2 linked regions of the Drosophila melanogaster genome follow. The protein of the gene in region 2 interacts with the protein of the main gene of each other region in a pairwise test. Each region holds a gene or a part of one and is shown on either strand. Other genes may lie near its edges. The genes, in order: CG14401 and CG43054.

The links.
Region 1: the proteins of CG43054 (region 2) and CG14401 interact in a two-hybrid assay, tested with the Drosophila melanogaster proteins (one large-scale study listed by BioGRID).

What each region holds. Positions count from the first base shown.
Region 1 is NT_033779.5:20,868,169-20,872,100, reverse strand, and holds CG14401 (uncharacterized protein), read right to left. Parts: upstream 2,248-3,932; 5' UTR 1,968-2,247; coding exon 1,754-1,967; intron 1,500-1,753; coding exon 1,341-1,499; coding exon of another isoform or gene 1,329-1,340; intron 1,270-1,328; coding exon 1,046-1,269; 3' UTR 629-1,045; downstream 1-628. Other genes in the region: CG31675 (uncharacterized protein), read right to left, coding at 2,764-2,984, 3,577-3,750, 3,904-3,932.
Region 2 is NT_033779.5:17,625,709-17,629,071, reverse strand, and holds CG43054 (uncharacterized protein), read right to left. Parts: upstream 1,214-3,363; 5' UTR 1,172-1,213; coding exon 761-1,171; 3' UTR 683-760; downstream 1-682. Other genes in the region: CG15147 (uncharacterized protein), read left to right, coding at 2,854-3,294.

The sequences.
Region 1 (3,932 bases), 3.2 Mb from region 2:
CAATGCAAATCTGTTTGTTATTTGTTTCTGACTGTGAATCGTGTTGAAACAATAAGTTTTACTATATTTGGTTGACTAATGCTTACACGCTGATGATATGAATTGTTGATAGACTTTAAGACGCGGAAAGATGGACGACGATTGTTTGTGGCATTGACGCGGCAGTGGTCCTCGCTGGGATCGTAGAGATTCCGCCGGACAACGCCAGCATGGACAGTATTGGTGAAGCAAAAACAAACACAATCTTTTGTACATAAATTGTTTTCTATCTGAATTGTTCTCAATGTGTAGTTTATATACAATATCTTGATAAATATCCATATATTTATATTTGAATGTTATTTATGTGTAGCCCAGAAGTGTTATGAATATAATCCGCAGCTAAACCCATTAAGATAATAAGCAAAGATGTTATCTGTTTGCCTACATAAAATAATTTATGCTATAAACTGGAAATAAATGTAAAACTAGAATTGTTTGACGATCAAGAAATCAATGGACTAGATATTGAAACAGAAATTGTGTGTATCGATTTGAAAGTGTTATTTTAATTTATTTTATGAATATTTTGTAATTAATGATCCTAATTGCAATACACACATACACATACTTACATACACACGCTAGTAGAGTAGGAAACGAGTAAATTTTATTCAATAAATTATATTAAATCAAACAAGTATAATTATATAAATATATATGTATGTTAAATCATTTTAGTGGATGTATAAAAACAATGGAAAGAAAATCAAATAAAATAAAAATTAAAAAATATTTGCTTCTATTTCATTCTTCTAGGGGCTTTAAGTTAAATTTATTACATATTCAGTAGGCTTTTTATAACTTAAGCCATTTGCCTTAGAAAATTAAGAATATAAGGATAAACTTTGGGTCGTTCTTGTTCTGCGCCCTTTGCATGAGTATAAGAAGTCATGTTAGTTAGTCGACCAAGAAAACAACAATCTTTTATACAATACTGGAGTATATTACTTTTAATAGGAAACATTGAAATACGACCGCCGCCGTTCCACGCGACTCATCTTCCTTAGGTCGCCAGTAGGACAAGCAGTCCGAGTATCGAAAGGGCAATGACCAAGGGTAGTGTGGATAATCCAGCGGCTGCGTTGCACAAATCCGTATCGCACAGTGTGCAGCCGAGGAAGTTCATAAAGGGCACCACAGGATCTGGTCCATCGTCGCAACTGACGCCTATTGGGGAGGCATCGCCAAAGTAACAGGAGCGCCTCACGAAGCGCGTGTCTCCTGGCACTGCGAAAAGTGAGTCATTTTATAAGGGATTTCCTTGACATATTTTCCAGAAACCATACTCGTATACTCACTTCCCTCATGGTACTTGGTAAGGCAAGTGGCCTCCGCTCCCAGGGATCGCATGTTCGCCACCACATCGCAATCCGTCGTGGATATGTCATCGCCCACAAATCGCTCCCCACACCCTGGATTATTGACGGAATCACATTCGTAGCAGGTAATGGCACGGGCTGATGACGACATCCGTAAAAATGTGTGTCCACGAGAGTGCACAGAAAGGAAAACAATGGATGAGCATTTTGGTAGACCTTATCTTTATCTTAAAGTAAACAATTAGCTTTAAAACCATTCTTAATGTTCCAAAACGTTAATTTCTTTTCAGATGTAAGTTAATTAAAATTTGTAATATAATTCTTGAACTTTTTAGACTCTATACGTAAACAATGAAATAAACAAAGAAAGCTGTTTATATGTTTTTCTTTACTGAACAGTTTCCCGCAAAACAGTCGGTAAAACCCTAAATTCACTGATTCGCAATAAATCGTGTTGACAGTCTTCTGCTTCTGAGATATTTCAAAATATGAACTACAATTTCGGGGCAGGAATGTGATGAGTGGCGGGCGCGAATCGAGAATCTCACCTGAGCTGGCCAGCGTGACGAGCAGAAAGAGCGAGGCAAGCGCTGCCATCATCGCCATCGTACCGCCCCCGAAAACAGTTGATTCCACTGTCGTCCGGCGGTCGCGGTGAGTCAGTATGGCTATAGCTATAGCTTGGCGATGCCGATACGTGCGCGAATACAGATGTTGTCTTCTCGGTTGCCGGACCGATTTTAATCACATGATAGATGCGCTATATAGCCACAAGCCGCCGACCAACGACCACCGACCACCGACCACCGACCACCGACTCGAAGCGATGCACACACGCGACTGAACTAAACAGAAACTGAACTGAACGTGCGAACAATCGCATTCAGAATGTGAATTTGATTTTCATAACAGATTTTTTCACATTTTCACTTCTCCATCGTTGGCTTTTCCCTGGCCAATGCGTGTTGACATCGTGCTCTGCCTTGCCCTACCCTGCCCTGCCATTCCCTTTGCCCTTTCCTCGCCAATCCATTTATTTCAGGCAAGGTTCATTAGTGGCATTTGAACAAATAAACAATTTGGCATTCTGTGTAAAATTAGTTTTTATTAGTTTGTATTTGGATCGTTCGAAATTTGTTTGCCAGCTTTTCGGCTCATTTCGGTGTGCTGATGTTGCTCATACGCCATGTTCGGCGTTGATTAGCCATTAATACAGTGGGCCGGGCAGATTTGGCTAAACGGTTTTGTGGATGGTGTGCTCTACTAATGTGGGCTTTACTAATTGATAGTCCTGGGCCTTGGGAATACATCTAAATTGAACTAGGTTTACTTAAGCTACTGTGCCTTTTAATGTTCATTTCACGCTCCACATTTCCACATTTCCACTTCGTCTCCTGTCGCCTCAGAGTAGTTGAGTTGCCAAGAGAAACAAGACCAGACTGCCGAAGATTTTCCATTTATCCACTGGATGATTTTCCGATCCGTTGCAGTAGTTCTCGCTGTCGCACACATGACAACTTGAGTTCTGCACCGCCGACAGGGTGGGGTCCATTTTGCACCACACATCGGTGGCATTTACCTCGCCGAAGTAGCAGCCTCTGACGATCTTACGCACGCCGTTTTCTGCAGAGGCAAAACATTGGGTTAGTCTACTTTCGGGCTGACTTATCGTAAATAAACACATTTTTTATTGTCCGTCTTTAATGGGCTTATACGAAATGTGTACGTATTGTCCAAAATATCAAGAGATTGTTGGAAAGTCTACGAGATTCTTCTGAAATAAGGTCACAGCTGTCCGTATATGCACGTATGTCTATGAATGTATGTATGACTGTTTCACATAATTAATTTTATTTGTTTTGATTTGCGTCACAAATCATTAAAGAAATTATTATCTGAAGAGTAAATACAAATCTCGGACGGACAACATTGCGAATGTTTAATGAGTATACAGACATTTACCTTTCGGAACACACTTTTTTTGTCCGCTGCTAATCGGACTGTATTTGTAATTAATGAACAATTACTTTAAAAAAATATCTGGTGGATAGATACATTTTTGGTGAATTACGATATATCCACTTTTTAATCTTATATTTCAAACTTTCTTTTCTTTTTACTATACCTATTGATTCATAACTATTAAAGTTACTATCCTAGCAAGGCTTCAAATCCGTAGGAACGTGTTTTGAGAAACATATTCGTTTAAACTCACCCTTGAATACCCGTTTCAAACAGGCCGTGGCATTCACGCTGAGCAGATCGTTCTCCAGGAATCGCGGAGGAGCAATGAAGGCGCAGTCGTATTTAAAATGGTTCTCGACTTCGAAGTCGTCGCCGCAACTAGCCTCGTAGACGGATTCGCAGGCATAGCACTTGATGGCGTAAGCTAGTGGCATTGGGATGGGAAGACCAGAGACGCGTCTTATTTATGGCAGAAATGAGATCAGGCGGGGACAGCCGACAGGTCGCGGCAAACGCAGAACTCGCAAAGCAAAGTACAAATTCGAAAGAAACAAGTCCAAACAGAACAAAAACAAACCTGAGGCCAGTAGCGAGATGAGCGCGCCA
Region 2 (3,363 bases):
GGAAATCCCCCGATGAGCGGCCATCTATGTTTGTGTATCAATGGAAACTCATTTATTTGGCGAATATTTTATAAATAATGCGGATTCGTTTTATGCCCGCCGGACTCGTTTGTTCAGAAATTTAATCAAGCCTCGGCCAGCCGTGCGGCGAAAATAATTTTCACAAATTCTTATACGCATTTCACTTGCCACACCGCCCTAGTTCAATTCCCGCCCCCTTCTACGCCCAATCTTTTTGCCGCTGGCATGCAAAGCGTTTTTTAATCCCCGGCAACTTCTGGCTGCCCGAACAAACGCATTGGCCAATTTGTGGCAAGCTGGAAAAAAGCAGGGGCCAAAGAAAATCCCAGCCGAAAATGAATAAGTAAAGCTGAAGGTTGAAGGCCATGCCACAGCCCTGTGGCAATTGCAGGAGTTGCACCACCACGAGCATTGACAAATGGGGCGAGGCCACTGGCCAGATTACTCGGCCATCTATAAGTTCAGCTGACGAGCGGAAAGTTGCTCACTTTGGGCGTCCTGGCCAAAGGGGCAGCAATTATCATAATGAGTGTGACAGCTGAAAATATAAGAAATTTATCGATGACTTGCCAGGTAAATTAATCACAATAAAGGAAATATTTAATGAATTCTAGTCAGAAGAAATTACATTTTGATTTAAAAAAGAAAAAACATATTTCTTGCATATAACTAGACTTCATATATAATTATAATTATAATTTTTATATACATATATATAGAAAATTCAGTTAACACAACTTCAAAGTAGATTTGATTTTAAACAAGTACAGCAATTTGTTCCTTTCTTTGGGTGATCAATTTGGCTGGCCTTGTGGATTGGTTGGGCTTTTGGTTTTTCAGCTTCACAAATGTCGAAATCGAAACGCTTTGGCACTTTGGCGGTCTTTACCTTTGTTATCACACACTGAAATGCGAAACAAAATGCAAATAGTATGACTATTATGCAGCCGATACACACAAGAATTATGGGGACTTTCCACAACATTTCTTCTTCTACAACATTTCTGGACTTCAGGTTTTTCTTTATGAAACTATAGCACTCATCTGCGCTCATCAGGCCAATTTCGTATTTACGCTTAGCTTTGACTGTTTGAAGATTGGGAAAAAACTTTAAGCGACTTTCCTCGCATATATTATTGAACCAATTCATTTCGTCTCAGTATTTTTAGAAGTACAAAAATAAATTTGATTTCCAATGTCGATGAATTTATCAGTGACAATTGGTGCTTTGTTATTTTTTTTTTTATTTATCTGAGTGGTAATAGCTTTGACTTAACTGATGCTGAATCCATAAAAACATGCATACATACTAATATGCACCCAATCTTAATCCTTTTAATAGTAAGCCTTTTTTTAATATAATACATACCAATATGCATCCAATCTTAATCTTTTTTATACTAAGCCTTTTTTATGTAATACCATTTGACCCCTTTAGAAATAGAATTCGAGTAAGCTCCCATAAATCTTGAGTTTTAAATTTCTTGACATTCACTAAGCCCAAAATTGAAAGGCGAAGGCAAATGTTTGCGATAAACTACCTGAGCAACTTAAAGCGAAAGTCGAGGGCATTCCCATGACTATTTGTTGGGTATTTTGCCAACACAAACTAAGTATGTTGATCCAATCAGAGGGAGCAGAAGAGCCGTATCCAAGACCCCAAACCCCAAGACATGGTGAATATATTTTCCCAGGGATTTGCGGCGGGATTCGAATTTGGATTCAAGTCGTAGTCGTCGTGTTCGTCGTCTGTCAACTGTCATCGGCTGTGGGTCGGTGGCTCACGTTCCGACCTCTAACCCTTGGTTATTATCATGTGGCCGGGACTTACATTTATTTATTTCCATATTATTCGAGAAGCAGCGGCGCTGCTCTACTTTCAATAACTGTGAATAAGACCGAATGAATGAACTGGCTAACCTTGCCGCTGGCTCGACACTCGGTGGCTGTGGCTCAGTGGGTGGTGCTGGGAAATGAGGCGCTCGACTTTTCCTACGCTGCTTTGTGTTCGGTTTATTAAAATATACATTTTCCTTTTTTCATTTGGCTTCCTTTTTGTGCGCTGTATTCTATTTGGCCGTGCCTGTGCGTTTGGCATGCTCTGCTCTTTACTCTTTAGCCTGGTAAATTTTGCAGAAAAAATCTTCTTTATTTTCTTTTTTTCACGTCGCCGCAGGTCAAAATGTCAGCAAAAACTGGACAATATACTAGACGTACAGTAATTACTAGAAAATTACGGATTTTTTGTCCACTTTTCAAATTAATTACTCATCACATTGCATTTGCCATAGAATGCACTTTCTCTTGAAACACATTCTCGCAAATTGCATGATACTCGTACATAGATGAATGCCCACTTTTTGTCATTCTGTATGAATATAGCTTTCACTTTTGATCGGAAATAACTCTTATGTACTTTGTATATCTCATTTCGTGTCTTGTTACCTCTATCTAAAGACCACTGTATAGCTCTGTTGGTTGATTTAATTTTTGTATTTATTTTAAGGCTTGCGGCTTTTGCATATTTCATGCGCATTTGCATGTTCTTTTTGCGAGCCTGCTTCGTCCTCGAAGATTTATTTGTCAGATACGCTCTTTTATTTGATTTATGAGGGCGCCCCATATCCTCCATCGGCCAGGTTATCTGGTCGCCGATAAGCTGGAGGCTTGAAGCTGCCCAGGAGAATTGTGTCAAACCTCTGAACCCCAGATTCAGCTCCTCGACCGGGATTGTCTCCCACATCCTGCCATGCCTGCTGCTCGCTGAAGTCCGTGGTCTGTGGTCCGCCCAAGATTTCCACCTGTTTACCTGTGTCCATCTGCCTCCCAGAGATGCCCGACAAAAGGCCACTGGATCCACTCCAGCCGGTGCTCTACATTGACCACTGCCGTTATCGTCAAACTTATCGCAAGCGAGCCCTGCACCTCCATTCTTCGCTGGCGGAGGCTCTGAGGGCCATTCAGCCAAGGGTTAAGCTCCAGCTAAGGATCAACGACAAAGGCCCGCCCGAAGATGGATCCTTTGAGGTTGCTATTGCTCCGCAACCAACCGATGATTCCACGGCCCGTCAAAGTGTATGGACTGGACTAAGGCGGATGCCCAGTGCATCGAAGGTTCCCCATGTGGACGACATTCTCACCCCAGTTTGTTTCGCCCTCAAACTGAGGGATCCGCACAAGGAATCACATCGGCGGATGCTAACCAATTTGCGGCACAACGAAGGCAGTCGACCAAGGACGAGGACTATAAAAAATGTGTTAAATAATACCTAGTAAATATTACAATAATAAACCAACACACTTGCAAGATCTTGAATTGTATTATTCATTTTAATTCAGCAA